4 linked regions of the Saccharomyces cerevisiae S288C genome follow. Changing the gene in region 2 together with the main gene of any one other region gives a genetic interaction. Each region holds a gene or a part of one and is shown on either strand. Other genes may lie near its edges.

The links.
Region 1: mutations in INP53 (region 2) and COP1 together harm fitness more than expected from each alone (negative genetic interaction), as found in Saccharomyces cerevisiae (3 studies listed by BioGRID).
Region 3: mutations in INP53 (region 2) and GDA1 together harm fitness more than expected from each alone (negative genetic interaction), as found in Saccharomyces cerevisiae (3 studies listed by BioGRID).
Region 4: mutations in INP53 (region 2) and AGE2 together harm fitness more than expected from each alone (negative genetic interaction), as found in Saccharomyces cerevisiae (3 studies listed by BioGRID).

The regions. Positions count from the first base shown.
Region 1 is NC_001136.10:190,266-199,736, forward strand, and holds COP1 (coatomer subunit alpha), read right to left. Parts: upstream 7,912-9,471; coding exon 4,306-7,911; downstream 1-4,305. Other genes in the region: snoRNA-binding rRNA-processing protein NOP14, read right to left, coding at 1-321; proteasome regulatory particle lid subunit RPN5, read left to right, coding at 659-1,996; LDB17 (Ldb17p), read left to right, coding at 2,485-3,960; YDL144C (uncharacterized protein), read right to left, coding at 8,397-9,467. UniProt on the Saccharomyces cerevisiae protein: The coatomer is a cytosolic protein complex that binds to dilysine motifs and reversibly associates with Golgi non-clathrin-coated vesicles, which further mediate biosynthetic protein transport from the ER, via the Golgi up to the trans Golgi network.
Region 2 is NC_001147.6:519,873-529,101, reverse strand, and holds INP53 (phosphatidylinositol-3-/phosphoinositide 5-phosphatase INP53), read right to left. Parts: upstream 3,825-9,229; coding exon 501-3,824; downstream 1-500. Other genes in the region: transcription factor TFIIIC subunit TFC7, read right to left, coding at 1-161; 2-isopropylmalate synthase LEU9, read right to left, coding at 4,261-6,075; GTPase-activating protein RGS2, read right to left, coding at 6,820-7,749; SNAP receptor VAM3, read right to left, coding at 9,130-9,229. UniProt on the Saccharomyces cerevisiae protein: Dephosphorylates a number of phosphatidylinositols (PIs) like phosphatidylinositol 4,5-bisphosphate (PtdIns(4,5)P2), but also phosphatidylinositol 3-phosphate (PtdIns(3)P), phosphatidylinositol 4-phosphate (PtdIns(4)P), and phosphatidylinositol 3,5-bisphosphate (PtdIns(3,5)P2).
Region 3 is NC_001137.3:71,515-79,075, reverse strand, and holds GDA1 (guanosine diphosphatase), read right to left. Parts: upstream 5,306-7,561; coding exon 3,749-5,305; downstream 1-3,748. Other genes in the region: chitin transglycosylase UTR2, read right to left, coding at 1-1,023; YEF1 (NADH/NAD(+) kinase), read right to left, coding at 1,645-3,132; GTA1 (Gta1p), read right to left, coding at 5,728-7,561. UniProt on the Saccharomyces cerevisiae protein: After transfer of sugars to endogenous macromolecular acceptors, the enzyme converts nucleoside diphosphates to nucleoside monophosphates which in turn exit the Golgi lumen in a coupled antiporter reaction, allowing entry of additional nucleotide sugar from the cytosol.
Region 4 is NC_001141.2:270,507-277,528, reverse strand, and holds AGE2 (GTPase-activating protein AGE2), read left to right. Parts: upstream 1-3,682; coding exon 3,683-4,579; downstream 4,580-7,022. Other genes in the region: GVP36 (Gvp36p), read right to left, coding at 24-1,004; protein kinase PKP1, read left to right, coding at 1,237-2,421; CBR1 (cytochrome-b5 reductase), read left to right, coding at 2,603-3,457; putative protein phosphatase regulator PIG2, read right to left, coding at 4,752-6,368; ubiquitin-binding SDF ubiquitin ligase complex subunit MET30, read right to left, coding at 6,956-7,022. UniProt on the Saccharomyces cerevisiae protein: GTPase-activating protein for the ADP ribosylation factor family.

The sequences.
Region 1 (9,471 bases), on a different chromosome or scaffold from region 2:
ATTCTTCATCATTTTTCTTGCTTCAAATGCACGCTTTCTTTGTTCTTCACCGATCTGTTTAGAGATACCAGGCTTACCCACAGCAATACGATCAGCAGTTTTAGAAGGCAGACCATCTCTCCTCTTATTCCTTGCAGCCTTTATTTCAAACGGATTAAACTCTTCTCTGATTTCAGCAATGGCCTTTTTTTTTTCTTCACGATCATACTCCTTCGCTTGTCTTTTGGAATTCTTTTTATTCTTACTTTTGACGTTTGTTTGACCTGTGAGTCCACGGGCCTTCAAGGCGGCCTTTAAATTCTTAAGTTGTGAACCGGCCATGTATTTGATCTTCCCTTTTATTTGCTTCTCAACTGTACTATTTACAGTAATAATTAGTGCAACCTTCAGATGCTTCTCGCTAAATGCTCATCTCTAAATTATCATTATTATTCCTAATAAATCCTAAAATTTTTCACTCGTTCTGTACGGCTCATCGCCCCAATATTACCCGTCTTGTATGTGATCTTTTTGACTTTTCGGTGGCAAAATGCAAAGGGGAATCCAAGGAAAAACCATAACAGGACACTACATCAGAGATAATCTTGAATTAAGAGAGTAGAGGAATATACTGCTGGGCTCACTACCATTTTTGTTGCTAGAGTAAACGTAGAGAAAGATGTCAAGAGATGCACCAATTAAGGCTGACAAGGATTATAGCCAAATTTTGAAGGAAGAGTTTCCTAAGATCGATTCGCTCGCTCAAAATGATTGTAACTCTGCTTTAGACCAACTGTTAGTGTTGGAGAAGAAAACCAGACAAGCTTCAGATCTGGCCTCCTCGAAAGAAGTTTTGGCCAAGATTGTAGATCTGCTAGCATCAAGGAATAAGTGGGACGACCTAAATGAGCAATTGACTCTACTCTCAAAAAAGCATGGTCAGTTGAAATTGTCAATTCAGTATATGATACAAAAGGTTATGGAATATTTGAAAAGCTCGAAATCTTTGGATTTAAACACCAGAATTAGTGTCATTGAAACTATCAGGGTGGTTACAGAGAACAAAATATTTGTAGAAGTGGAAAGAGCTAGGGTCACCAAAGATTTGGTGGAAATTAAGAAAGAAGAGGGTAAGATTGATGAAGCTGCAGACATCTTGTGTGAGTTACAGGTTGAGACCTATGGCTCCATGGAAATGTCTGAGAAAATTCAGTTTATATTAGAGCAAATGGAATTGAGTATATTAAAAGGTGATTATTCCCAAGCCACGGTGCTTTCAAGAAAAATTCTGAAAAAAACTTTTAAAAATCCAAAATACGAGTCATTGAAGCTAGAATATTATAATCTTCTGGTAAAAATTAGTTTGCACAAGAGAGAATACCTAGAAGTTGCGCAGTATCTGCAAGAAATTTATCAAACAGACGCCATTAAATCAGATGAGGCTAAGTGGAAACCTGTTTTATCGCACATTGTATATTTCTTAGTCCTTTCACCTTACGGCAATTTACAAAATGATTTAATTCACAAAATCCAGAATGATAACAACCTGAAAAAATTAGAAAGCCAAGAATCTTTAGTAAAATTGTTTACTACGAATGAGTTGATGAGATGGCCAATTGTTCAAAAAACCTATGAGCCCGTCTTAAATGAGGATGATTTGGCATTTGGTGGAGAAGCTAATAAGCATCACTGGGAAGATTTACAAAAAAGGGTCATCGAGCACAATTTAAGAGTCATTTCCGAATACTATTCCAGAATTACTTTACTAAGATTGAATGAATTGCTGGACCTAACGGAGAGCCAGACGGAAACATACATCAGTGATTTGGTAAACCAGGGCATCATATACGCTAAAGTTAATCGCCCAGCCAAAATCGTGAATTTTGAAAAACCAAAAAACTCAAGCCAATTATTGAACGAATGGTCACATAATGTTGACGAACTATTAGAACATATAGAAACAATAGGCCATTTAATTACAAAAGAGGAAATCATGCACGGTTTGCAAGCTAAATGAAGAGATTTTCGAGTAAGTGTCGGATTATCTCAGATCCGGTTTTGATTTTAAATCTGTTACTAATCGAAATGTGTATTTACGTACGTGAGATAAAATTATCTATGCATATATATAACTCAAATGGAAAATGGCCACGTATTGCTCTCATTCTCTTCACTTGCTTACACAAAACATAAGGTGACAATTAATGGAATTTTAGTTTTTCAATTTTTCAGGGGAAAGAAGACACCCAAAAAAAAAGTGAAAAGTCAAAACGGTAAACTGTTTATGGTATTTAAATGACATTAATAGCAGCGTAAAGAGTCATTTTTTCGTTTGATTAGCAAAACTCTGAACATTAATTACTACACCTATAGACATATCTTTAAACAGTGAAATATTTTTTTCATTTAGTAAACAAGAATTAAACTTTGAATATTTTTTTTTCGATTAACTTATGTCACTTTAGCCTATACTTTCTTCGAACATTTTTCCTTTCATTTTGACTCATGATATTAGATCCATTATCTCCAAATATTGAAAATCATACTCAAGATGAAATAATTGAGTTTTGGGAAAAAACTGAGTCTATTGCTAACATACCAAAGGAAAACTTGGATGAATCCCATGTTAACTCAAGCCTGGTTGCCTACCTGAAGTTTGCTACTGATTCCTATAAGGTTTTTATTAATACTGATCGTGACCTCTACCGGATGTCGCTAATACTGTTAGAATCGTCCTTATTTGAATTTAAAAAAGAGTTTTGCCTAAGTAAGTTGCAGTCGTTACTCAACATAGACCTACTGGAAATGAATATGAAGTTCATTATTGTTTACATTCTTCTCTGTGAGGCGAAAAAAAACGTGTACTCCTTAGAAATCATGCTCAAGTTCCAAGGATTTACTGTGTTTTATAATACCTTGTACACACAATTCGCCTATTTGAGCAAATACGGAAAGGAAAGGACAGTTGCTTCTAAACATCAATACAATTCTAATAATTCTAGCACAGGTACATCCTTGGACAGTTTAGACCGAAGTTTGACTGATATTGATTTGGGTATTATAGACGAAATGAAGCAAATTTCAACTGTTTTGATGGATTTGTTATTTCAAATTATGAAGTACTGTAAGTGTGTTATTGCTAATCTTCAAATTGTGGATGACTTTTTTGTTTACTATATGATGGAATCAATGAGGTCCGACACTATGGACGATATGTTCAATAACGCGGAGTTTAAACTGCTGTTGGCGTTGAACGAACAATATATGATGTTTGCCAAGGAGTACGACATTGAGAACAAGGTCTATAAGTATTTGATCAATGGGTCTGTCTCAAGATGTTTTACGGAGCTATTATTACTGAAATTCAATAGGGCATCGGACCCTCCGTTACAAATTATGATGTGCAAAATTATTTATCTTATCTTGACACCAAGAGGAGACTACTCTCCGATGAATTTCTTTTATACAAACGACTTACGTGTTCTTATCGATGTATTAATCAGAGAACTACAGAATATCAGTGAGGATGAAGAGGTATTGAGAAACACCCTTCTAAGGGTTCTGATTCCGCTATTAAAGAATACACAATTATCCAAAACACATTATAGAAAGGATGATTTGAATAAACTATTAAACTACTTGTCGACTTTAGATAATATATGCGTTGACAGTCCAGCGTTGCACGAGCATCAAGTTACAGTGGCCTTATCTCGGAAGTGTCTTCAACAAATTCCTTGGTTAGAGACACCTTCAACGCCTTCAGATGGAGGTTCATCGGTCTCTAGTAATAACACTAGTAGAAACTCTAGCATTGTTGCATTGGGGACGCCCGACAATCAAAATATCTTGGCTCGTAAAGGCCATCTTTATAGTAATCGTGAATTAGATGTTTCTGCAGAATCTTTGACTAAAAGAAAGGCTAAAGCTCCGCCTCCGCCTCCTCCTCCTCCTCCATCAAGAAAATGTGGAACTCCAAAATAAGTAAAGCATTATTTCTTCTTGCATTAATGTGGTTCTTCCGACCATTTCTTCTTCTACTCACTGCAGTATCTAATGACACATTGTACTTTTTATATACAAATGCAACAATCGTAACTATAAAACTAAAGTTCGGGTTGCTTCCGAATACATGCTGGCAGAATTTCAGGTTGTGTGTCACTTGTTAAAATAGGCGATATTTTTTATTTTAGAAGTTGTATATAACTGTTAATTACATAGTCAGTTTTTTTTTTTCACTATCATATTGTTTAGATTAAAAGGACTTGTCACATGAAATTTAGGTCGAGCAGAATACAATCCCGAGAAAATCAATAGGCAAAATAGCATTTATACACGTATTCTTAATCCGGATGCAGGTGCACCGATCTTAGAAATCATAGCAATTCTATCTATTTTATCTTTTTCCGTGATAACGTATTTACTACCTGTTAATGGGTCAGAAACGGAAGGTGTATCTTCATAAATTGGTTTGTAGGTGGCTGCACAAATATCGAATTTAGCATAAGGATCAAAGTCAATTGGAATGGCGTCACTGGCCATTGAGTCGGCTTTGTTTTTGATTTTACGTGCTTGTTCTGCACGAGGACCAGAAGAAATAATCTTTAAAAATTCACCGGCAAAATATGAGGCCTGTAAGAAATTTTTGTGTTTGAAATGTTGGGACATAGCCACTTGTAAAGCATTGGTACGATGAATTGGGGATAGTTTTGCCTTTGTAAAGTATGCAGCTAGCTCAAGCATGCGTACAGTATTTCCCTCCTTTAATGAGCGGCGTTCCAATTCAATGGATAAACCTAATATATACTCCCTAGCAGTTTCCAGTATCTTGTGTGCTAATTTTTCATCTTCAGCATCATCGACCATTAATAGCGTAATACGGTAGATAGCTTCTCTGAAGCATTCGATTGCAATATCTGGTTTGTTTAGTTTAAAGTTTTTGTAACCCTCATTCATTTTTTCATTAACGACATCAAGACCTGGCACGTAAGGAAGAATTTGATCTTCACTTACGGTATCATCATACGCTCTGACATAACCTAATTGAGCAGGAAGTTCACAGGGCGTACTAGGAATGTATGTTCTACAACCCTCATAAATGTTGGTAAAATATTTCTTCAATGGCTCCAGCTTGACTACACCCACTTGCTTGCTCAAGGCTTGAACAGCGGCATCAAAGGCACCAGCGGCAACTAGGACAGCAGGCAGTTTAGAATTCTTGATCCAAATGGCTGTTTCAACTTCCTGTGCTGGAGAGGTAATTTCGCCTTGCTCAACTTCTTCAGGTAACTCTTCTCCCACATCCAAATCTTCGTCACCCAAATCCCAGGCACCTTCGTCTTCACCAATATCCTCATCGTTAAAGTTTTCTTCGCCTAGTGGTTCTTCTTGCTCTTGAGTGGTGTTTACTGCTGGAGTTTCATCGTCTATAGTCAAATCGTCAATTTGACCTAAAACAGCCTTTTCAAAGTAAGATAGTTCAGCCTCTTTTAATGGCCATTTTTCAAGTGGCTTTGAGATCACTGGTCTTTGAACGAAGTTGGAGGCATCCATCTGGTCTGGTAAAGTAACATCTTGTTCATCAACTTCAGCTTGCTCCAAGAAAGCAGAAGCAGCCGCTTCATCTCCGTTAGCCTTTGCTACGGCATAAGCTAATGGTAAAGAGCCGCCCTCTGCAAAAATGCTAGATCTTTCCTTGGTTGAATTGTTGTAAAAGGTGTTTAATAGCATACTTCCAAAGTCTTCACGAGTCTGAGCGATATTTTGCATTTTAGATAGTTTGTTAACGTCACCTGTAACTAAATACAGGAAGGAAAGTTTGTCAAAAGAATGTTGAGTTTGATAAATCATTTCAGCTAAGCTGGCATTACCTTGTGCCAAGGCTTCTTGGATTAATCTTTCCCAAGTACTAGAATCATTCAGTTTTTTGGCTTCATCTAAGGCAACATCCAAATTACCGTATTCCAAAGCTAAATCAAAACGGATATGTGGGTCTTGAACGAATTGTAAAGCAATTTCTGGGTAACCTGACTTCTGCAGATAGGAAATGATATTCTGGCCAACCAAATTAGAATCTTTTATCAGACGTAAAACTTCTGGGAAATTTTTGTTAACCAGGGCCTTTTTGAAGCGATATTCTGTAGGATCAATGGTTAAAATTTCAATCTCACCTTCACGGTTCAAGCAGTACACTAATTTTCCCTGAACTTTTGTGATATATAAAGTTTTCTCCAAAGTTTTAATAATACCTCTATCCCCGTTCAATAGTGAGTACCTTATATGATTTAAAGTTGAATAAATTAATACACCAGTTTCATCCCAAGCGGCACTTTTGATTCTAATCGTTTCATGCATAGAATTAATCAATTCTAGCTTTTTGGTAGCCAAAGTTATGGTGTGCTTACTCATCAATGCAACATATTGACCATCTAAGGACCACGAAACGTACTTGACGTTTTTAACAGCCAATTGGGATACTTTTTTGCCCTGTTGGACATCATAAAGAATAACTTCTCTGGGGTGTATGACCAAAACAGATCCAGGACCTGCAGCTACAATAGTTCTTACTGTTTCCTCTACTTTGATATTTCTTGTAACTTTGTTTTCGAGAGAGCGAACTTCAACAGATTCAGTGTTCTTGTTGTAAACAACAAATCTATTACGACCAACAAAAGTAGCAAAATTACCTGTATCTTGGGTGACACTTGTTGGCTCCACAGCTCCAACTGGTTGTTTTGGTAAAATAACGAGAGCAAATTTGCCATTAGCTTCATTAACCAAAACTGAATGTTGGGAGGGATTGTACGATATACTTCTGAATGCATCCCAAGGTTGACCAATACCCTTTAAGGACGCATAAGGTAATGAAGCGACTCTTTTCTGGAAATTGAAACTTTGGATTTGCTTTTCCGCATTGACAAAAAACAACTGGTTTTGATGGATAAAGCTGCATGGTCTTTCGCGATCGAGCTTGAAAACCATAATACCAGAATCGTGAGCTGCACCAAATAGATTGATATGAGGATGTGCTGCAATCAACCAAAATCTATCGTTTTCTCTTTTGAATTGCTTTACTGGAGTTCTCTTGTCAAGATCCCAAACCCTTAGCGTTTTGTCTTCACCGACAGAAATGATCAAGTTTTGATGTGGGTGAAAGATAACACTATCAACATTGTTAGTGTGACCTCTGCAAGTATCAACTTCCCAAGCTTTCGTAGCACTCATTCTCCATAATTTAACTTGACGGTCGTCACTGCCGGAGACAATCAATGGTAAAGTTGGATGGAAAGAGGCCCAGTTGACACCTCTTGTGTGACCCTCTAGAATAAACTTGACAACACAGTCACCAAGAGAGCCATCCAATAGATTTTGTTGTGCACTCATTTGCTCCTCAAATGAACTAGTACCAGGAGCGGAGTGTCTTTTCCTTAAACCGGAAATATCCCAAATTCTGATGGTTTCATCCAGAGAAGCGGAAACGATCAGGTCATCGGTTGGATGAAATTGAGCACACATGACAAAATGATTGTGGCCGGTCAAACATGCAATTTCCTTACGGTTTTGCCAGTTCCAGATTCTTATGGTCTGGTCATCAGAAGCAGATATGATCCAAGGCAGCTCACGGTGGAAAAACACGGTACGGACATAATCCAAATGCCCAGTTAAGGTGTATAGACATTTGTTAGTATCTAAGGACCAAACTTTAATGGTATAGTCGTCACCTGCCGAAACAAAAATCGGTTGGGTTGGATGGAAATCTAGCCCACGAACAGGGCCCTCGTGGTCTTCAAATCTGTGAAGTAGTGTTCCCATCCTGTAATCCCATAATTGAATAGTAGAGGAAAACAAAGCCACCAAAACCCAAGGTCTGGAGGGGTGGAAGGCAATGCCCTTGGCCCTAGTGGACTTTGATTCAAATTTAGTTAACATCTTCATCTTGATCCAGTAATGAAATGAACAAAGACACTACAGAAGAAAAAAAGTATACTGATTTCAGGTTAAATAAACCGCGAATTTGTAAACAGGTATGATAATGTTTTTATTCAAAAGTGTAAAGGGAAGATAAAATAAAAAGAAAAAACTTTATATCTTAAGCAAAGAAGGGGGTAAGTAACAAATGTTTGGAAAATCCTGCTGGTTTCGCCAATTCTATGATTTACCTAATTGCAATGCCTCTTCAAACAAGTTTGTGGTCCCTGTATGCTACTGAATCGAGGCTCAATCGTCACAGTCTCGAAGACGGATCTGTTATTTATTCAAGTTGGCAAATTGTCGATTTCGTTTCGTGTTGTCGAAATTTTCGGTCGCTCTGTACGTCGTATAAATGCTGACAATAAGAATAATAGTTAAGAGTACATACTAAATTATGTGTTACAATATACTAGATGAAGGCTCGTCAACGAGGCAAGCAATGGTTGGAACTACTCGTCCACAAGAGTGGCAGTTTTTTCGTCGAACTTCAATAGGCCTTTCCGCTCCTTTAGTTTGGCCTGTACTAGCACAAGTAGGTTGTATAAGATAGAAAGAGTGGGTGTAGCGACGCCGTTTCTTTTCGCGATTCTTATGGGGTTGCCTAGGATGACTTCTAGCTCCATCAATTGGCCCTTCTCGCAGTCCACGCACATGGATGGCTTGAACACCTTTTTCCTGGTAATCTCTGTAAACATCGTTATGAACTCCTCTTCGATAATGATGCCTTCACTCGCCGCAATGGCGATGATCTCCCTCATGGCAGGGTGGAACACTTCAATTTCTGTGCTCTTCTTGTTAACCCCAAACTCCAGGCAACGCGGAACGTCTAGCCCCACAAGTGCCGTGGATGTGTTGATAGCTGCATTGTAGAGCAACTTCTTCCACCGAGAGTAACGGACCCTAGGGTCAAATTCGACAAAGTTTTGCCCCTCGTTGCTGTACATCCTGACGAAGTCGTTGGCAGCCTGGATAGCAGCAGCGTCCTGTGGATCAAAAGCTCCACACGATAAGTGGTCCTGGCCCACTTGACTGATATGGCCTGACCCGATCTTAGTGGATCCGATTAACTGGATGCCAGAAAGCACCGTGTAACGATACTGCTCTCTGGGAAATTCCGCCCATATCTCCTTCTCAATATCGATTCCGTTCTGTACCAGTAAAATGTGTGTCGTCAATTGCGGCCCATGTAGCTCTTTATTCTTCTCAAGCACAGGTCTGATGATGTTGGACACCCTTGAATTAACGGGCCCATCTATGATGTTCTTGGTAGTCACTACAATATAGTTGTATCCTTGGTTGTCTGCGGCAGAAGCAGCGTCCTCGACGCTGCTGTAAATATGGTGGGGTCTCCAACCTTCTAACCGGCCATAGTCACATGATTCGATTGTGTAGCCATGCTTCAATACCCTATCGTAGTCAGATCTGACTACCAAGGAAACGTCGCTCTCCTTCTTAAGCCACAACGAAAGCGCAGTAATGACCCCAACGCCACCTGCCCCGATAACTAGTATTCTAGACATTTTC
Region 2 (9,229 bases):
AAGGACAAAAGGTAATGGGCCAACTCTTTGGCTTGCTGGACTCCGTGTTCTGCTAAAGGAACATCGCTATCAATTCCTGTAAGTGGGTCAGGATATGGACCCTCCGGAAGCCAGTTGGATCTGTATCCATGCCTTGCGATATATATCGTGTTCACCACCATAAAATGTATTGAAAAGGAGTAATATGTTATTGAGGTAGAAAAATGAAGGTAATTAGGGGAAAGCCTACTGAGGATTTATGGATAGTAGAGATTCTCTTCCACCTTGCCCATAAGTATTCACCAATATTTAACGTATATATATTAATGTGTCCTATTTTTCAGCTTTAAACCCGGCGCGCCTTATTAACGCACTCCTTTTCTCTCACTGAATATTTATATAAATATTTATCTAAATAAAATCACATAAAACAACCTGGCCAGGTTAGCCCCCTTGTTTCTCTTCGTTCATTTAAAGGGATACAAACGGAACAACAACCACACTTCAAAGATAACATATTCTCATTTTGGGGTCAATGGCTGCCATGAGTCTAAAGTCATATGGTTTAGTTTGGCCTTTTCCTCTGGCTCAATTGGATTTTCATCACCTAGCAAAGCTTCGGGCTGCCCATTGACGTCTCTTGATGCTGCAAATGCTGTAGGTGTCTGTTGTCTTGCATCTTGGGCTGAACGTGTAGATTCACTCGCGCTATTATATAAATCAACCTTAGAAGACATAGGCGAAGCCAAGTTACTGGTACTTTTTGGAGTTAATATATTTTGACTAAAACCTGGTGGTGGAATTCGTCTATTTTGCGCCAATGGTTTATTTTCCTGTATATTTTTAGTCACAGATGACAACGATGCAGTTGAGGTCTGTGGTGTTGGTGATTTTTCCTTCGATGTTGAAGGAGCAGGTGCTGATACAGATTTATGAGCAGGTGGGGGTGGGGGGCGCAATACCGGTTTCTTTATGGGGGTACGCGACTGGCTACTGTTTTGAGTTCTGACAGGTTGTAGTGAAGCCGATGCTGAAGACACAGGTGACGAAGAAGCAACGCTGGACGCTGTCGGTTGTGCCATTATCGGATCAATATCAAGTAGAGAACTTTCAGAAGAGCTTTTGAATCCATCAGTGCTCTTATTATCCAGATCAAGGCTGAGAAGATCCGATATCAGAGAACCCGGTTCTTCGGGATGCTCTTGTTTGTATTCTGTGAATAAACGTTTCTTGAGAGATAGTCTCTCTTTATCATCAACAAAAGTTATTTTTGCTCTATATGCTGCGTAAACTGGCCGATGGTCGCTAATCATTATCGGAGCATCTGAATAAGATAAAGGAAGTAAGTTTTCCCCTTTATAAATAATTCTATCTGTCCATGACGGCGTCCTTTCCTTTTCAGAAGAATCATAAGTTCCTGTCCCGGGATCATACTTGTATGTTGGACGGAACTTGAGAGTTGGTTCTTTGAAGCCTTCAAATACACTGCCAGAATTAATACCTAGGGTAAGTTGATCAAAATGCAACAGTTTATCGATATATCCTTCTTCTTGGTTGAGCAACTCTCTTCTGACGTCTTCGTTCGGTAGATTTATTCTATAATTCATGTCACCTAACCAGAAAATCGAATCGTGATGAGGAATCATCTTAGTTCTAGTGAAAGTAATACCTCTAACTATGCTCTCGTAATCACTTCGACGTTCTTCGACATTCGTAGCTCCTGCTGCGAGATGAGAATTGACAAAACAAAATGAAGTGGCACCGTACTCAAATCTTATAGACACTGCACCTTTATTCCCAGCCATACCCCTAAAGCCAGTTTTTTTAGTAGCACCCTCCACTTGTTTGACGTATTTAGCTTTGTCTGCTTTAACAAAAAATAAAATTAGTAAAGAAGTCATTTGCTCTACTCTTAACAACAGATATTTATCATCATACTGGTTTAAGCAATCACCCACTAAGTTTTCCCAGAAAGAGCTTTTCGAGTAATCAGCGTTCAAAATCGAACCCGCAGATAGTTCTATAACTTCTTGAAGACCTAAAACAACAATATCGGGTTTAAATTTTTCACCGATTGGAAATAACCACTTTGATAAATCAACTTTTTTGGTTGCGCCATTAACATTGAATGATCCTATTAACAAGTTAATGTTGGAGGTTGATGTGAACTTATCAGACATGCTTTGTAATTTCGTACTTACGTATTCGTTTACGGGATCATAAAGTTGCACTGCTTTCTGATACGGTAACCTTCCCAACAAAGTATCGATATTTTGTTGCTTTTCTTTATCCATGAAATTGTTAATATATATTCTGCTGACCGATTTTGTGGCGTCTGATAATGCCCCAGCAAGTGACATTTTACCTTTTCTTGAAAATGAGGACTTCAAAGCATTAGTACCAGTATATATTTGGGAAATTTGATCACCGTGATCAGCCCACAGGGTGTTATGTTTAGAAACGAAATCATCATCGTCGATGAACGAATTTGAACTAATCAATCGGAAATCTTCGAGAAAAGTTCTAAAAGCAGCCAAAGAAATAATTTGCTGAGCTAAATTTGTTCTATCCAAACAATCTAAACAGTTGGTCCTAAATATGCCATGTTGTTCAGATATGTTCTTTTTTTCTCTAACATCGTAAGAATAATAGCCAGAAGATAAAAGAGAGTCCAATATTAATGGAATGAGTTTTCTGACACCGGAAAAGCCTTCTTGCGAAGTTTCTTTATGAAAATCGAATTCTGTCAAAAATATATCTTTGTTGAAGTTCAATTTTTTTGAATGAGTTAAATGCTCCTTGTATCGTTTTGAAAGTTCAATTTCAGAAGATTTCGTTGATAACAAATTAACGACATGCACAGGTCCGTACTTTTCCACTGATTTCATGATATGTTTGTCAAATACCGGTTGGGTGGCTTCAAATGATCTTGTAATTTGTACTCTTGGATTGATTAAAGAGGTACCTTGCTCCCAGAATACAGGTATACTGCCTCTAATCTGTGTAAAAGCATAACAGTATTGGCTAGAATACATAATGAATTCCGTTTCTACGAAATTGGCAACGTTTGCCTCATCATCCACACCACGTGCATTAAATCTTGTTCCTGCTCTTTTCCAGCTCTGTTTCGAGATGATAGTAAGAGCAACTTTCAACTTCTTAACGTACGAGACGAAAGTTTCCGCAAATCCACGGATAACTGTTGTTAAAAACCCCTCGTCATCCAAGATTTGTTTCAAATTTGTGTCCAAATGATCTCTGTATGTGATCATTTCTTGCATGAGAAAAGAGTTCCACATATATTCTTCTTCGTAGGTATCTGTACTCAAAGAATGCTGACCATATCCACGATGCTGTAAGGTTGAGGTCAAATCAAAATCTGAACTATAATAAAAAGATCCATTGGATAATAGTTTCTTCAATTCATAGCATGGATGTTTTGGCAAGGCGTCTTGATATTCAGTTGAAGCAGTCTCCGGCAACACAGGATAACCTGAGGAGTCGATTTCAATAAAATCCCAACTGTTGTCATTTAAACAAAAAAAATCGACAGCAAAAATTTTGTTCACAGTCTCTCCTGGGCATGGCTGTGCAACTTTTGATTTCCCAGTGATGGCACCAACAAACAGCAGGCCATTAACCTCAATGAGTCCGATAACACCAAAAATTTCGTGTGATGTAAGTCTTTTGAAGCCATATTTTTTCAAATCATTTTTTTGAAGAAGTTCAATGGCACAAAGGGGTTTATCAGATGGCTTTTTCCCAACCGGTTTAAGAACAAGAGCATACAAGTTGGATACAATGGCTAGCCTCCTTTCAGGTTCTTCTGAAACAAAGATAATCATTCTATGAAGGAGTGGATAACTAGATATTCTTCGCCCCAGTTATTTTCTTTCTTCCTCTTAAGGTACTGCTAGCTTTCTTAATATGATATTGGATATTGACTGTTCTCCCTTCACAAAGTCTCAAATTACACTACTCCTAGCTCACTCAACAGTTGCAGTAGTGCTCGAAAAATCCCTATTCGGATTCAGTTAAGATTATGCGGTGGGTGGGCCTGGGTAAAATGTTTCACGAAAGGAAATGGTACCATGGGAAAAAAAGCAAAAAAAAATAATAAAACTATAAACGAAAGAAACTTTCCACACAGACATCGAAGAAGTGTTTGGAAACTTCGCTGAAAGATGTCTTTTTAACGTGAAATAAGTTACTTTTCTGTGCCATTTATAAATAAAAATACATATATATATAACATGAGTAATCATAAGCTACTCCTTTCTATTACTCTGCCAGTAGAACATCCCCGGAATGAATAATATTATTGACAGTAGCAAATACCGCCTTAATAGATGCATCCCCAGTGTCTTCGGAGACACCAACACCCCACATATTACTAGTAGCATGATTATTGATGTCCTTTATGTAGGAAAGATTTATGAAAGATGCCGCTTGGGTTGCAGAACCAGAACCCAAGGAATGTTCAGAGTAGTTTTGAACGCTCAACTTAACATTCAGTAAATTGGATAGCGCATCCACCAAAGAAGAGATAGGACCATTTCCGTAGCCTTCGATGTTGACAACCTTATCGTTGATTTCTACCTGGCCCACTAAAGCTCTACGCTCTGGGTTCAATTTCTTAACTTCGTAATTCAACAAGGTGACGTATATATGTTCATTGTTGTTGTAGTTGTAAGTTTCTTTGAACAATTTTGTAATCTCTTCGGATTTTAACTCTCTTCCTAAGGCATCTGCATTTTTCTGTAGAGTATTGGAGAAATCAACTTGCATTGGTCTTGGTACATCTAATCCTAGAGATCTCATAATAACCCAAGCAGCACCACCCTTACCGGATTGAGAGTTGACTCTGATGACGGCTTCGTAATCACGTCCAATATCCTTTGGATCCAATGGTAAGTATGGAATTCTCCACCGAGTTTCTCCTTGAGCCTGTTTCTTGTTTTGGATTGCAAATCCCTTCTTAATTGCATCCTGATGAGAACCAGAAAAGGCAGAAACAACCAATTCACCGCCATATGGGGCTCTTGGGGGAATTGGAATCTTGTTACAGCGATGGACAATTTCAGAAATTGAAGTTAAATCTGAGAAATCTAAATTAGGAGAAACACCTTGGGTATACATATTCATGGCAACTGTAACCAAATCAACATTACCTGTACGTTCACCATTACCAAATAGACAACCTTCTACACGATCAGCGCCTGCAAGCATACCTAATTCTGTGGCGGCGACACCGCAACCACGGTCATTGTGACAATGCGTAGAAATACAGACCTTCTCACGCTCAGTAATGTGGGTAGAGAAGTACTCAATTTGATCAGCGTAAACATTTGGAGAGGCAACTTCTACAGTAGCTGGTAAGTTGAAAATGATCGGATTTTCCTCGGTAGGTTCCCAAGCCTTTTTAACAGCTTCACAAATTTCTACAGCAAATTCACCTGGCGTATCACTGAAACATTCGGGAGAAAACTCATAGGACCAACGAGTAGCTTGCTGGGAAGGGTCATCCTTGGTTAGTTTCCTAACCAGTTTGGTGGCTTCTACAGCTTTAGAAATAGCTTCCTCTCTAGACATATTGAAGACAATTTCTCGGAACATGTCACTTGTGGCCAAGTAAGTATGTATGGTAGCCCTTTTAGCACCAGTCAATGCTTCCACGGTTCTTTTAATCAAGTGTTCTCTAGATTGGACAAGACATTGAATACCAACATCATCTGGAGCGTTTTCTACAGCATACCTGGTGAAGTCGAAATCTGTTTGAGATGCAGAGGGGAAAGACACTTCGATTTCTTTGAAACCGATGTTGATCAACTTGTGGAAATATTCTTTCTTTTGAGCCACAGACATTGGGTCCGGTAAAGATTGATTACCGTCCCTCAAGTCAGTAGACAGCCAACGTGGAGCCTTTTGAATAGTTTTGTCAGGCCAAATCCTCTTGACCATTTTTGGTGGAGCAAACGCCCTATATTTTACCGATGGGTCCCGTAGCATATTTTTATAAGTCAGTTTGACGGGTGGGATAGACCTTCTTAGTTTACTAGCATGCTCAGCTAGCGCTATGAACGAATGTTTTACCATGGCTACGCGGCTAAATGATAATGTGCCGATAGTATTATCCTAAGGAGAAGACCCTTATAAGCCGAAAACAAGGATTGTGATTTCGTGGAGTAAAGTAAGGCATTATTGAAATTTAACAGCTAACTTCCAATCAAGCCAGTAAGAGGCAAAACTATGTTGTAGTTGTGATTCTGGACATCGTTTTTAATTTTTTTTTTTTTTTTTTTTTTTTTTTTCATTTTTTGGCAAGGCCGAAAGAGATGGAAAAATATGAGTCATTCACTACGACCGTTACCGGACCATGATGGCGCGCGGCACCAAAATAGACGAATGAAGTATATAACAAGCGCCATGCAGAAGGAAGAGCTAACATTAATTACTATACAGATAAATGTTTAGTGTTTGAATATGACAACATATAAAAGAAGACTGTGCCCAATGCTCTTATTTTAAATGCCTGTGAAATAATTATATGCAGTGTCATGTACGTAAAATTAAATAAAAACTAAAGTTACAAACAATATGAGCGTGATGAAATGAAGTAAATTGTGTGAAATGAATTAATATGAAACGAGGGAACTAGCCAGAAAAGCGGATTTTCTATCGTTGTTCTACTTAATCAAAGTTCTAATCTTGATTAACTGATATCATGCAAATTTAGCTTTTTAAAGCCGTTTTCAACGCTTTTTTCATTTTTACCGATCGCTTTATTGGGTAATGGCGATGAGGATGAAGATATTTGTGTCTCCACAGATGATGAAGAGGCTATCTTTGTTGATGACTGTTTTGTCCTTTCAAACGGTTTTGAACATTGCTGTTATAATGGCTACAAATGACGCCTGAAGGCTGTTTGAAAGATTTCCGTTTTTTAACAAAGTTAAGTTTTTGCAATAAACCTTTCCCCGAGTTGAGAATTCCTGTATTTTGCGGTTTTTGCAGATTTCTAGTGCTGGTATTCTTGTAGGTCGAGCTGGTAGTGTTGAGTGAGGAAGAGGACTCGCTTGGCCGAGAAGTGCGATCGCTGCATTGCGACTCATTGGTCGTGTTTGCAGACGTTTCTTGAATGATAGTTGACAAACCATTGATATCAGGCTTCTTAAGATACGAATTTCTATCTTCAGAAATATCCTCCACGCCTAATGACGAAAAAGAAGTTGTAGACTCGTTTTTGAGATCTTGTTCCGTAGCAGAGTCATTGTGGGCATATGTGGCGGAGTACTTTTTCTCATTAACAGAACTCACAAATCGGTGATACCCGTCCATTAATAGGCCCATCACATGGCTAATGGCACACAGGACGTCTACGTCGGCAGGTACTTCATTGTTAGCAAAGCACTTCTCAAATATCTCCCTAGTATCCTGTGAAAAGTTGCATTCTTTGGGGGAGTCCACGGCAATGTATTTTATGTACAACGACTTGTTCCAAACTTCCAAGAGCTTCTCCTCGCTAATACTCCTGTTTTGCTTAAGCTGGAGGAACTGATGAGCTTTTTCGAAAAATTCTAAATTTTCCTCACAATGAGCTCTTTTTAGAAATTTGTAAAACTTTTGTATTGTGTAAGGAGAACGCATCCGTTCGTGATGCCCTTTTCGCAGTTGAATCAGCACTGTATTGCTACTTTCAGCATCGCCGTCGCTGCGACTATTCTTTTCTAGCGGTATCAGTATGTCGCATAGACTTGGTACACTCGCCATCTGGCATGTGCTGAATTTTCTTCGTTTTATGTATCAAAGGTGCCTTACCTAAGATGTTTTGATATTTATATAGCCAATGTAATATTTTTTTTTTCTTCTCTTTCCTTGCCTCGTCGCTTGAGTTGTTTGCTTTTAGTGATCACCGTTGACTTTGTAAAAATCCGTTTAGTCAATTTTGGCAACTGGTTCAAGCAATGTGCAACGGAAATGGTATAGATGTGATGTGGTATAATATGTTATTAATTTGATTACTAGCGCCTTAACTATCTTTATTCAGCAAGTTTTTTTTTCATCTCCACAAAGGGACGTTTACAAAGGGTATCCCGAAAGAGATACTACATGACGACGTCATATATACGTATATCTCAAGAAAAGAATTGTTAATGATTATGTTTTTTTTTTCTTCTTTCAATTTCCTTTTTCTGATTGTGCTAAAATGAGCGCCGAGCCGCTTCGATCGGGGTACCTGCGCACTTTTCTAGCGGTTCGGTTCGGCAGTTCTTCCCGAAGCATTTAACGCAACCTTGTTCCTCATTCTCCAGCAGGTCTGTGCTTGGTGCGCGACTTTAGCTGCAACGGCGTGGGTGTGCCGCAGCGGACATTTCTTAGTTAGATGTCATCTCGGCTGGACCGGGACGCCACAGTAAGATTTCAAACTGCTGAAAATTTTCGCCAGCAGAATAGCCGCTACTATCAGGCCGTAGCGACAGGATCGTGCCCGCAATAACGTACACATCGAGGTAATTATGCATGATTTCTTTTTTTGCCGAGAAATTCTGCCATTTTTATTAATCCACGCTCTGTCCTTATCTTAGTGACAGGCAAGGATGTTCTGCAAAAGCGAAAATTGAAATAAGATAAATACTTCCGAGCCAGACACGTTCTTATGTTTATCAGGGCCCACAAGGTTCATTTAGAAGACAACGCATACAATGTTTTGTTTCTTGATAACGGTTGGCGGCCGTTAAGCAACAGTAAGGCAAATGACAGTTAACGGAAAATAACAGGGTTCTTACTTTTTACATACAGTAGCACAATCCTTTTTTTATTGGCAGTCGCTAGTAGAAATTCGTGGGGATTTACGGACTACTGAAAAAAGGTCAGTGTAGATCGTACAAAGTAGAAAAAGGAAAAAGGGCATATCGAGCCCTTGCATTTAAACTACGGAGTACAAAAAACACAGGTTGCGCACATGGGAAGTGCACTATCACTAGACATCAAAGGAAATTTTGAGTCAAAAAGAGCGGCTAAGAAACCCCCCTACCACAAAAGAATAAATGCAAAAAATAACTTATACACTCTTATACACTCTTGTTTTCGTAAATAGATAAGATTGGGTCTACCAGAAAGTCTGTGCTCAATGCGCGTTTAAGGAGATTACTAACTTAATACAGCAAGCAATACCACCATGCACACAACTATTATAATGATTAGGGTGACCTTACCGCATTTGTTACGGTCCCTCTGATGCTGGTCTGCT
Region 3 (7,561 bases), on a different chromosome or scaffold from region 2:
CTCATCACTGTCCATCATGACCTCATCATCGGTAATAGCAATGTCTTTGGCCAAAAATTCACTGGACGAAGTATACACATAAGCAGAAGTACCATTCTTCTTGGTATCGCTTGGTGGATCATAACATGTGATATTAACTTCATTGACAATAGCATAATAATATCCTGGGTTGCTGATATCGGATGCGTCCCAATTAATTTCACCACCAGACCATGCAATGGTTCCTGGAGCGTTGGTAGAATTACCACCTGGCCAAATGGAAATATCCACCTTGGATGGGGTTTGTGGGTATTGATATTTTTGGGTGGTGGCGTTATAAGTTTCGTTCTTGTACAAGGTTCTACCGACGACACCATCGATGGACCATGTTACATAATCTTCGTGCCAATCTAATTCGTAAGTATGGTAGTTTTCAAATGTATCAGTAGTGGAAATATTGGCAGAATTCGTGTAGTTCAAAACACTTTCCCAATAGAAATTGGTTTGAGCAGTTTCTAGATCAGCACCGACGAATTCGTAATCAAGTTCATCACCTGCGCCGGAATACAGAATGAACCCAGTGACCACACCAGCAAGATGTGACGTCTTTATTCTAGCACTGACCTTACCATACCAAACAGCCCTCGTGGAGGAAAGAACGGTACCACCACTGTTCTTGGGCATCGCCAAAATTAAACTTTCTTCATCATCATAATCCAAAACGTCACCAGTATACAACCAATCAGCCTCACTAACATTTCCTAAGAAAGTGTTAGCATTCCCCAACTTAGAGGAATAATCTTTGAATTTAGTGGATGAACTCTTGCAGATAGGTACAGGCATACATGAATCATGACTAAACGAATATCTTACATCACAGTTGTTCAGACAATATTGACCAGTACCACATTCACCATATTGTGAGCAACATGGTTTATCTTCGGGACATGCTTGAGTTGCATTGCAAAATGTAGCGGCCTCTACACGTACCACGAAGGAAAAAATACTGACTAAACAAATTAGCCAACTATTAACGATTGCCATTATTAATTATATAATTAGCTTATTTGCAGGACAATAAATAGAAGTTTTACAAAGGGAACAGGGTCCAACAGAAACCATAATCACCAGGAATGTTGTTCTTTTTATACCTCAGGCATGTTTTAAAAGCCTCTTCTGCAGTTTTAATTTGGAAACTATCCACCTTGAAGATTCCCACTAAATCTTCGAAGGACGACGATTTTCTTCGAGGTTGAAAAAAGTTTTTCAAGAATTTTCGCGCTTCTTCCTAATCGGGAATTTATCTGTCATAATTATAATTCCCTATTTGGGAATTGGAACGAAATATATGCTACTATTTTAAAAATTATTCTGCACCATTCCGGAAATAACCTTCCGGTGACTGCAAGTTAGGCAACCTTATCATATGGTTAACTAGCATAATTACAAACGCGCATGAGGAAATTTAGCGAAACTACCTGCCAAATGCGGCGCTCTGGTTCAACTGTTTCATTTCTCCATTTTGTATAGCTCTACTGGATCTTCTTCGACACTGCAAACGACGCAAGAGCATTCTTGAAGTAAAAGAGGTAAATACAAAGCTGTTTACAGGCTCATCATCCATTATGAACCCTTGACTACGGAAACGCAGGATGTGGGAAATCGTTAGATTGCAAAATGAGCCTGACGAGTCCGTTCAACAACTATTTCTGTTTCTGTTTCCGTTACGGATTTCCTCTCCTCATCTTGTGCATCTGAGCTTATGCATGAACTCTCGAGGGGATTACTTATGGTGTCGTTTCCATTTTTCGATGAGTCTAATCTATATTTTTCTTGATTTTTTGGCGAGAGAATATGTGCAAATGGCTTCTGCTCTTCGCGGTCATTCCAATTAAGATTTTTACTGATACTTTCAAAAAATTCACTGGCAGATGACTCGATAGTCGGTACCGAATAGGGGCTTGCAGTTATCACAACATAGTCACCCTGTTTCAATTCAACTCTATCTTTTCCGTCAAAATTCACCCACGACGTCCCTCTTGAGTTCATATCTACTCTAACTTTTAATTCCATGCTATCTGGTAAAATTATAGGCCTAAAGCTCAAAGTATGAGGACATATAGGCGTCACCGCTATGGCATTTACGCTTGGCGATATTAAAGAGCCTCCTGCACTCAATGAGTATGCCGTGGATCCCGTAGGCGTGGCAACAATCAATCCATCTCCCTGAACCTTAGTCATTAGTGAGTCGTTTCCATAGAGTTCTAATAGGGATAAACAAGGAGCTGGACCTCTATCTATGGTTACTTCGTTCAATACGTGATGTTCGGAGATGAAATCGATGTAACATATTTTTCTCCCAGTTGCGGCATCAATTTCTGGTTTATTTCTACGGTAGAGTTTGCATTGCAACCTCATTCGTAAATTAATACGAACCTCATCTGTTAAGATATGTTTCAACGTTTCTTTGAAATTTTGAAATTCAAAATTTGTTAGAAATCCTAATGATCCAAGGGCAAATGGAACAATCGGCGGAACATCTTTCGTGAATATAGATGAAGCAAAAAGGACAGTTCCATCACCCCCTAGTGTAATCATCAAGTCAAAGAATGAATCGTGTTTTTTAACAAATTCTTTTGACCAATACTTTACTCTGTTTTTACTGCAATTGCTGTCTTTGCAGAGGTCACCAACAGCAAACTGAGTTGACTTTTTAAAAATATCTTGTACATATACAGTTATTGAATGGAAATTGCGTAAGATCCATTCCACCACTTCTCTCATGAGAAATACAGTGGAAATATCATTAATATTGCAGATTATTATCAGGTTTTCAACCTGCAAGTCAACCTTAGCATTTATAAGATCCTTTCTCAAACGCCTTACATCGTATGCAGTATCAACATAAAATGGGTATAAATTACTCGTGTCCTCACCGACAATTGTTTCGCTCGATAATCTTCTGACCCAGTTTTTTGCATCATGATAACCGCACCTCATTAAGCCCGGTTCTTCGAAGTTGCTTAATACCTTGCCTTCCGCTAAAACTTTAACTGATGTCATTCTGTCAATAGTATCCATAGTATCCATCTCAGCATCTCCCTTGGTACATGTCTCCGGGGAAGCGTTAATCAGTAATCTATCAGTTTTCATATTCTCTTTTAGTAAAAAATGTCACGTAAGCAGATTTATTGAGATTGCACTATTTCCATTTCCCTTTCACAACGCTATAGAAGTGAGATGAATACACTAACCTGATTGTAGGTTTATTTATATATATAATATCAATAGCTAGCAGTTTATTAAACGACCTGAAATGCAGTTTCTTCGATCACCAGATAAGTCCGATTATCCTTTTGTTTTCGATTTTCTTGAGGACCGGTGTGATATCCACAATCACCCTAAAACTAAAACAAAGCCATATAGTCTTAAAACAACGGAACAATCCATAACAAAAGTATATTAAATTATCTCATATGTTCAAGATTATGAGGTCCTAACAGATAACTCTTCCAGTTCATACTCAAACACCTGAAGGCGTGGCGGGCTTTTACCAAAAATGGATAAACCTCGGAAGGCCTTTTCAATCCCCTGTCTTGGCGGCGGTGTTATAATAAACTATTGTGGGGATAATAGTGATTTTCATAACGTAAAAATCGTTTACATATTGTTCAAGGGTTATAGAATAGGACATATAACAGAATACATATCACCGCAATCTCCTCTTCCTTAATATACATGGGACGAAAAGCGGTGTCCATGTTCTTATTCAAGCTGATTGAATTTTACATTTCCAGTTATCAGCTTTCAACAATGGTAATGACGCACCTAAACACCAACCGATTTCTTTATTGGCAATTTTCTTTCCAGTTCTCAATTCTCTTTGTAATGGAATGTCATATCCCGTATGTAATAAGGACACTTGAAAAGATAAGTCCAAACAGAAGTGCGAGTCACTTTCCAATTCATCTAGGGACCCCGCAATGCCACTGAAGACACTATTCCAAGTTTCTTCGCCTTTACACACTATTCTTGCCAAATCGTTCAATTCATTCAAAGTAAAGGACAAGGGCATACCCAATGGACGGGTTCTGTCGTAGAAATAAGAGAAAATATAGATATCGTTCGATTCTTTGAATGTACGAACTAAAGAAGGTTGGTGAACCCCATTGAAAGAGCATGGTGGAGACTGGCACTGAGCATCTTTATTCAAAATTTCATCAGTCAGAAATCTACATTGTGCACCACTTGGCTCGTCCGGCCCTATAAAGTCAATGGTATAAGTTTCCTTGGATTCTAATGTAACCTTTTCATTTGTGGCATTAACTTTAGGCGGTAGGCATGGAGATGACAATTGATGAGTCTTAGTGTTATCACCCTTCAATATTTTGCCGTCTTTTAATGCATTTTCCACAAGAACAGAGTTAACTTTATTTCTTCCTTCCTTCAAACCGTAACCTAGATGAGAAAATTGGTACAAGGTGTAATTTTCATCACCAAACTTCAAATCAAATTTATGCTCACCATCGACCATTTTTTCATTTATTGGGAAAGTAGGCTCAAAAACAATTTGTGTAGACCCTCCGCCTAAGTCAAAAACGGCAGCAGTAGGTAACTTGGGGCCATTAGCACCGATATTACCTAATAGGTAGTTTGTAGTAATCCAGGCGAAGACACCTTCTTCATCACCGCCCATGATGGAAACACCATCACCTTCGACAACTGGGAAAGGATAGTCCTTCTCCAAATGATCCCTTACAGCGCTCAAAATTTTTGAAGATTTGGCATCACCCAAGAGTCTTAGGCCTGCAGTAGCTTTCACCGCAACGGGAGTACAACTTCTTGCCTTAATAGGGACATAGTTCATTGCTACTTTCAGTAATGGGTCAAGGGAGTTAGCGGCACCAACGGAATCGGTATCGAAAGAAGATAAACCAGGCTCTAACATGTCGAATTTTTCATCAAGTAATGTAGGTGGGGAAGTACAGACGTCAAACTTGTATATATGTACTCGGGAACCGGTAGAGCCGGCATCGATCATGATAACATACTTATGTTCTTCGCTGCATGTTTGACTTGTTTGTGACTTCACAGCATCGGCAAGCTCAGGATAGTTTTGTTCAGTCTTCGAATCTTGAAGGTAACCTGGTTCATCATTGACGGGCAAGATAGAGATGTCCTCCGGAGTTTTGGGAATACTAGCATTAGGAGTAACTGTACGTGCAATAGAAGGTGGACCGATGGAAGATGTTTTAATCAACAAAATGAGCATAATAACGGCAAAAGCACCGATAGCGAACCGGTAATTTCTAAAGATGGGCGCCATGTTTTTTGTGCGATGATGTCTTAATGTTTCTTCTCGAGAGGACCCTTAACTGTTCGCCAATAAAGATTGTTGATTGCAGTCCTTGCCCTTTTTATTAGTGCTTTCTCCTTAAAACCAAAATTAAATAAGCTTGTAAAAGAAACTGTTTTTATATTTGGAAAATCGAAGCACTATGCAAGGAATATTATTAATGTTGACAGTTATTTTTCATGTGTTATGTTTTTCATATTGAAGTTGTAAAAAGATGGGAAAAATGAAATTGAGACGAGACGCCAAAATAAAAAGAAAAAAAAAAAGAAAAAATGAGATTAATACCGTTACCCTATTGATGATTAAGAATAAGCTCAAACTGCTTTCATATATTATGTTTCATAATTTATATATCTACATATATACACGACCTGGAAGTATTATAATATTGTTCATGAGTCGTGACTGTGCGGGTTAAATAGATTATTCATACCGCTCTTGGACAACAGTTTTGACATTCTTCTACCGCTTGGACTAGTTGATGGAGTTGATGAATCTTGAATATCCGTGTCCGCATTAGCAGGTGATGATGCAGACTTGTGCTTAAACTTGGACCATGCAGAAGAAATGCTGCTGTTACTTTGGTTCCTCTTGTGAGAAGGCTTAGGGCTTGGTTCTTTAGCGGGAACCTTTGGACCCACAGGCACATCGAGGTGATACTGCTCCTCCAATGGAGGAGAAAGTTGATTTGTATTTGAATTCCATATGGAGTTGAAAGGTGGTGAAGAGGCATGGAAAGATCTTCGTGTAATGTTATCCGCCGTTGGTTGATGGTTCATTGTTAATATGTTCGAGTGTGAAGGTGTTAAAGTAGTGTTATTGCCTGGAACAATGGGCACATCGTTTGAGAGTCGTGGGCTCAAGTTTGGCACCAATAAATTGAAGTCACTTGATATCCTTGGACTAATGTTCTCGGTTTCATTGCCATTGATATTGTTCTGTAAGGAGTTTGCAGGTTGCGGAGCACTGTAGAAAGAACCACTGCGTACAAAACTTTGTAATGAAGGATCATTCAATGTAGCGGCGAGTAGACTCTGTGGATGCATAGGATTCGTATTGGTTGCGTTGGAGGTTTGTCGCAAATGAGAACTAGAATATGGAGATATTACTGGGTTAGCCTTATATGATGACATAGGTGTTCCAGTCGTAGAGAAAAGACTTTCATTTGTGCTGCGCACCTGGGGTTGCTGCTTAGTCCAGTAATTGTCAAGTTCGTCTGTAGTAAAACCCTTGGAATAATTGCTTATGTTATCAGGATAGTCTGTTTCGTCGTAGATCATATTTTGCAAACCACTGATTAAGTGGTTTGCATTATCGTATTCAAAAGCTTGATCCAATTCTGTAGATACTTGTTGATGCGAAGGTTGAGCGAATTGTGCGGTGGTCCATAAATTTGACCTTGAGTGACCATTAGTTGCTGTTGCTGTTGCTGTTGCATTAGCAGTAGCAGTTGTAGGTAAAGCATGTGAATATGAAGAAGGCTGTTGCTTGTTTTCGTTGTTCGATGAGATGTGATTGGAGAGCATTGATCGATTATCGGTGTCCTGTGTCAATTGACTCAATAGACTGCTTGAAGGTTGTATGGGTTCATTCGAAGGAGAGTACGAAACTGGATTGTGCAACCTCAACGGAGGAGCAGAATCAGCATTACTGTTGTTAATACTTTTGTTATTATTCGATATTAAATCAATGGACCCCGTTCTTGACATGTTGTTGGATAATGGTAATTGAATCGATCCAGAACTTCTGTTTTTTTCCGCGGAATTATTCGAATTGGTGGCAGCAAGCGAATCACCGTTATTCTTATATGGTTGAACCATTAATTTTGTTTTCAAATTCCGATTATTAAGGCTCATTTCATTAAATTGGTTTTCTAAAGCACTAATTTTCTTCAACAAATTTGACCTCTGCAATTTCCAGTTGGCCTCCAATTCTTGATCAATGCTTAGCTCTTGCTTAATCATTTTAATCAATGATGAGTCTGCATTCAATTTGGATAGAAACTCTTCACCAGCATTACTTAAAAATCCATTTTTTTCTAAAGTAAAATCATTGAGCTTCTTCAAAACAGCCGACAATTCTCCGCTAGCAATAGGTTTATCGTTTTCCACATTGGCATTCACCACTATGGAAGTAATCAATGATTTTTTGGAGGCGTTCAATCTCTTGTTAGACTCCTCCATCTTGGAAATTTCATTTTGTAAAGACTCAATTTCTTTGTTGATA
Region 4 (7,022 bases), on a different chromosome or scaffold from region 2:
GAAAGACAAGAACAGGGCGGCTATTAAGCGTCGTCTTCGTCATTCATAGAGATAGCTGTCTGTGGCTTTTCTTCTTCTGCAACCTCAGGCTTTGCTTCCGGCTCTTCCGCAAATGAGTTGGATAGGAACTCTTTCATTAGGCCAGCCGAGGTTTCAAAATACTCAGCTTGAGCCTTGGCCAATTCCTTCAAATCTTCACTGAAGTTAGCGTGAGAAATAACCTCCTGCAAGCACACAGTAGCGTCTTCAGTGACTTGAGCAAACTGGTCTTCCAAAGTCTCCATTTGGACTCTCAAGGAAGCTTCCTTTTCTGGCTTCTTGTTGTTTGCCAAGTTAGTTCTTGCCACGTCATATCTTAATCTCATGGAATGGACATCCTTGCGGCACTTATCGGCCTTACCGATCTCAAAAGAGAGCCTTTCCCTCAAATTTTTATTGAATTTGGTTTGAATCAAGGTATCTTGTTGAATTCTAGCTTGAGCAATCTTAGCCTGCACATCACTGAATTGCAAGAGTGCCGAAGCCAAGGGTTGTTCCTCGGTGGGGAACATCTTGTTCAAACATTCACTGGAGTTCAAAGCCACTTTACTGAGGGCGTAGTTCAACGTCTTGGGTTCTTTGATGGGGCCTGGAGCAACTAAGATGTTTTGTGCCTCAGACGCAGATGTAGCATGAGTCAACTCTGTCAACTTGGAAGCCACGCTTCTTGAAAACTCGTTGACGGATTCGTTGATGTATTTAGGGTAATCGTACGATCCGTTTTCGTAGATAGCAGTTACACCCAAGAAGTGGTTGTAAATCAGTTTGATGGTGTCAACCTTATCTTCCAGCTCTGTGTACTCTCTTGGCAATTGGGAGATGTCCGTCACCTGGCCCAAACGTTCCTGGACCATTCTTTGGGTGGATTGCGCCAAACTGGGCAATTCCTGGGTTTTTTCGGAAACACTTGTGGATATTTCCTGTAATTTCTTGCTCAAAGAGCTGGCGAAGGCATTAAACGACATTGATGACTATGATTTGTTGCTTATTCCACTCCTCTGCCTACAAATCATATAGGTTATAGGTGAAGAAGGTTGCAATTTTCTTGTTTTTGACATCCCGATTAATCCACCGCTCGCTTCTCACGGTAATAAGGGAAAATGTCTGCCAGTATGAAGCAAACAACATTAAACTGAGAACATTGGTGAGTCAAGACCATAACTGGAAGACGTGGTATCAAGACGCCTTCACGGTAGTATGTGGAAGATTATGCGTTCATGGAAATGTGGGGGAATGCGCTGGGCACATCGCCAGCGACCCTCACACGAGCTGCTGTCGCAACTGTCGTTCGACCAGCATTACAAGATTAGGTCGAACATTGAGCTGCTGATACAGGACTACGCTAGTAAACCAATTGCGCCCCTAAACTACGAGTATTTCCTGCAATACAGGCCGCCGCTGACCAAGAAGGAGGAGTACATGCTGACGATCAAGACAATCAACCTGTTGCTTTCATTGACGTGTAAACGGCTTAATGCCATTCAGAGGCTACCGTATAATGCGGTAATCAACCCTCATATTGAGAGAACCAACTCTTTGTATTTGAAAAGCTTGCAAACGTTGCTATCAATCGCATACCCGTACGAGTTGCACAATCCTCCCAAGATACAGGCCAAGTTCACAGAACTGCTGGACGACCACGAGGACGCCATTGTGGTATTGGCAAAAGGTCTTCAGGAAATCCAATCGTGTTACCCAAAGTTTCAAATTTCGCAGTTCTTGAACTTCCACCTGAAGGAGAGAATCACGATGAAGCTGCTTGTGACGCACTATTTGTCGTTGATGGCACAGAACAAAGGTGACACGAACAAAAGGATGATTGGAATCTTGCACCGGGACCTCCCCATAGCACAATTGATCAAGCACGTTTCTGATTATGTCAATGATATATGCTTTGTGAAGTTCAACACTCAGCGGACCCCGGTCCTAATTCACCCGCCATCACAAGACATCACATTCACGTGCATTCCGCCCATTCTGGAGTATATTATGACAGAGGTATTCAAGAACGCTTTTGAAGCTCAGATAGCTCTTGGAAAGGAACATATGCCCATAGAGATCAATCTTTTAAAGCCAGACGATGACGAGCTGTACTTACGGATACGGGACCATGGTGGTGGGATCACGCCCGAGGTAGAGGCCCTCATGTTCAACTACTCTTACTCTACACATACCCAACAATCAGCTGACTCTGAGTCTACAGATCTGCCCGGCGAGCAAATCAACAACGTCTCCGGCATGGGCTTTGGTCTACCAATGTGCAAGACGTACCTAGAACTGTTTGGGGGCAAGATTGACGTTCAAAGTTTACTTGGCTGGGGCACGGACGTGTACATCAAGCTCAAAGGCCCTTCTAAGACTGCACTACTCTCCAAAAAGTAACAGTGCTAAATTTCCTCGTAAAGCGGTACCATTAAGGGCTCTTTCTACTTCTTTAAATTATCTACATATGTATAAATATTCTTATTATATAAGGCGAAAAAATGAACGAGAAAAAAAAGTGTTGAAAGTATGCATTCAACTGGCTCTTCAACAAGAGACTCAATCAATTAAGCAATCGAAGATGGCTATTGATGCTCAAAAGCTTGTGGTGGTCATCGTGATCGTGGTCGTGCCTTTGCTCTTCAAGTTCATTATCGGACCGAAGACCAAGCCTGTGCTGGATCCCAAAAGGAATGACTTCCAATCATTTCCGCTGGTTGAAAAAACCATCTTAACGCATAATACTTCGATGTACAAGTTCGGGCTACCTCATGCTGACGACGTACTCGGTTTACCAATTGGTCAGCATATCGTAATTAAGGCCAATATCAATGGTAAGGATATTACCAGATCGTATACGCCCACATCGTTGGATGGAGATACAAAGGGAAACTTTGAATTACTAGTGAAGTCTTACCCCACAGGTAACGTTTCTAAGATGATTGGAGAGTTGAAGATAGGTGACTCGATCCAGATCAAGGGCCCTCGTGGGAACTATCATTATGAGAGAAACTGCCGTTCCCATCTAGGGATGATTGCTGGTGGTACTGGTATTGCGCCCATGTATCAGATCATGAAAGCTATTGCCATGGACCCTCACGACACTACCAAGGTCTCTCTAGTCTTTGGGAACGTCCATGAGGAGGATATTCTGTTGAAGAAGGAACTGGAAGCGTTGGTGGCCATGAAGCCTTCCCAATTTAAGATAGTTTACTACTTAGACTCTCCTGACCGTGAAGACTGGACTGGTGGTGTAGGATACATTACCAAGGATGTCATCAAGGAACACTTGCCCGCTGCTACAATGGACAACGTTCAAATTTTGATCTGTGGTCCTCCAGCCATGGTTGCCTCAGTTAGAAGAAGTACCGTGGACTTGGGGTTCAGACGTTCCAAACCGCTTTCCAAGATGGAAGACCAGGTGTTTGTGTTTTAAGATAAGGAACTGTAACAGAGTGCCATATATATATATATAGATTGGAACATATATAATATATACGCTATTTAGTTTAGTCACCTAAACGCACCGTTTCCATATTTCGTGCTGGACGATTTTCGACTCGATAATACGTATAAGATCGGTACTAATAGTAACAAAAGTAAAGGTAATACTTGCTTCAACTGTACAAAGGAGCATAGAACGTGGGGCAATTTACAAGCGATGTCGACGTCAGTCCCAGTCAAGAAGGCATTAAGTGCTCTTTTACGCGATCCAGGAAACAGTCATTGTGCCGACTGTAAGGCGCAACTACATCCACGCTGGGCTTCCTGGTCACTTGGTGTTTTCATTTGCATTAAATGTGCTGGTATACATAGATCATTGGGAACGCACATTTCGAAAGTGAAATCTGTTGATCTGGATACATGGAAGGAAGAACATTTGGTGAAACTGATACAGTTCAAAAACAATTTAAGAGCTAACTCATACTACGAAGCTACTTTGGCTGATGAATTGAAACAGAGGAAAATCACTGATACGAGCAGTTTACAAAATTTCATCAAGAATAAATATGAATATAAGAAGTGGATTGGTGACCTCTCCAGTATTGAAGGGTTAAATGATTCTACTGAACCAGTTCTGCATAAGCCGTCTGCGAATCATTCGTTGCCTGCTTCGAATGCAAGATTGGACCAGAGCTCAAATTCATTACAAAAGACGCAAACACAACCACCTTCCCACTTATTAAGCACCTCAAGGAGTAATACGAGCTTATTAAACCTACAGGTTTCATCGCTTTCTAAGACTACATCTAATACAAGTGTAACTAGTTCTGCAACAAGCATAGGTGCTGCTAATACCAAGACTGGCAACAGAGTCGGTGAATTTGGGCAAAGGAACGATTTGAAAAAATCCATTTTATCTTTATACTCAAAACCTTCTGCCCAGACTCAAAGCCAGAACTCATTTTTCACTTCCACGACACCTCAGCCTTGTAATACTCCGTCACCATTCGTGAACACTGGAATTACCGCTACAAATAATAATAGTATGAATTCAAATTCCAGTTCTAACATTTCATTGGATGATAACGAGTTATTTAAGAACGTCTGGAGTTGAATAAAAAGTAAAAAAAGAAAGCAAATATAGAAAGCAACAAAAAGAACATCATTCCAGTATATTATTTTATATAAAGAAAATGACCTTCAAATAAAAATAGAAAGTACGTATTCTTATCTTTTTTTTTTCTTTTGTATATGTAAAACAATACTATTAGTTTTTGTTTTTTTCTTTAATGGAATGGGTTTCTGAAAAGACTATGTTTCATCTCGTAGTTATCATTGACGTCTGTTGTGGGCCCTGTCCTCGTTTCATTCGTTACCACGTCAATTTTATAGTTTGCCGAATCATTATTGTCCCAATATTCCTTCCTAGAACGATCAACGCCCCAAGTTAAGTATTGAATACAAAACTCCAATTGTGATATATTGCTATCTTTATCATTTGGATTGTGTATATCATCAATGGAGAACTTAAAAATATCCATATTGCTTCCTGGTAAGATGCCATTGGCATTAGAAAAATACACGCATTCTGATTCATGAAAAGTTCTCCATGCATCCCATGTATATCTTACGATAATCTTCTTATCAAAGTATATGTTTTTCACAAAGACTTTGCCAATTATAACCATGTTGTGGAAGCCAGTTAGTAGCGTAATTTCTTGCAAAAAAACGGGCCTTCCACGGGAAAGATTCAGAAATATGTTAAGTTTTAAACTCTTACGGTTCCTGTCACTTAATATTGGAAAGTTCTTGTTGTAAAGACCAACAATTCTTTTAGAGTTTCCAATAAACAAGTTGGCTCCTGATTTAGCAGAATTTGTTCTTGTTTCTAAATAATCGTCGTCATCGTTTATTAACAAATTCTTCAACCCGTGCGCAAGATGAGCTTGGTCTTTGTCTTGTTGCCTTACTAAACGGTTTATAGCGTCGTCACTATCATTGTCATTTTCAATATCACTGTCATCGTCACTTAGTTTAAACTTCTTTTTTTTATTTCTACGATTATTAGAATTTGTACCAAATAGGAATACACCCTTCGGGTTTTGTAGCCATGTATCTCCATATTCGTTTTGGTTGTTTTCAGATAGTAAATCTTCTATAGGTACGCTATCACTACCGCCATTAAGGGCACTTAGTCTCGTCAAAGGCTTATGCTTGAAATTCAGAACATCTTGTTGAACCATTTGTTTGCCAACATCTATGGGTTTCTCATTTTCATTGAACAGCTTTATTGGTAAAACACGATCGAAATGGACACTTTTACTTCTTTGCAATAGCCTAGTATCTACATGATCTAAATTGACATGTTTACTCTTAGAGCCAGTTTTGTTGAATATAGATTTGGGAGTAATGGGTAGGGACTTGGATCTTCTTTTTAATGAACTCTTAACCAGTTCTCCAGATTTCTTGTAAATGGGAGGTGAAGGATTACCATTTTCCTCGGATTCATACTGGAAATTATCATGTGATAGAGGAGAGATTTCGTCTTCCTCCTCGCCTAATTTACTGACGTCTTGATGATGTGCGTTAAAGTTCGCTCCAGAATTTATAAACGGGTGATGGGCATGAACTTGTTTCCCATTAAAATACATTCCCTTATTCATGTCCGTATTTCTTTGAAGCTCGTCCTGAGGTAATCTGTGCAGTTTTACATTAGATAGTCTCCTGGGCTTGTGCAAAAACTCCAGAGAGTTCAGCCTGGCAGGGTGCATGTGCATGCTCATACCAGCAAAAGTTCTTATATTCGCATTTATGTTTCCATAGTTATTGTTGTGGGCACTGTTATTAGGAAGATTTAAAGGTTCATCCATCAGTATATTTTGTGGTTGCGTGGTGGTGGCCATACGGATAAAAGCAATAATACTAGCTAGCTATATTATCTTTTTTTATTTATTATTAAGCTATTACCAAAGCTGGCGCCTCAACTGTTGGGTTCTTGTCTATTTTATGTATATTCTATATTTCAAGGATTACGGAATCGATAAGTATTCTATTATGTAATCGCCTTTATATACAATGGCCGTGCGCGTTTATATAATAAAGTACCTTCGCCCTTTGGATTTATTAGTACTGTTGAGGGAACAATATTGCAGATTATGGATCTTGTACGACATTTTATGCGTACGCCCTCTTCATCATCGCCGTCAATATAATAAGCTTTATCTTCAGTCCCCCCCTTGACATCCCCCTTAGCGTGGGAAGGGCTCCGTGGGGGAGTAATAGCATCTAATGGTCAAGAGTTTTATCGAGACGAAAAAGAGGAAGGAAAAAAACTGAAGATGGAAAAGGCTAGTGATACGCTAGCGATTTATTTTTTTCCTGGAAATAAAATAAATGTAAAATGCTATTATGTATTTTTCATTATATATGTAAGCATATATATTCGAGGTACTACGGATGTTTTTGACCAAGAAAAGACCACACACAGGTCCTAATCATTGAGATCGAATTTGTACATTTTTACGCACCCAAATTCATCACCACTAAAGCATTCTGAA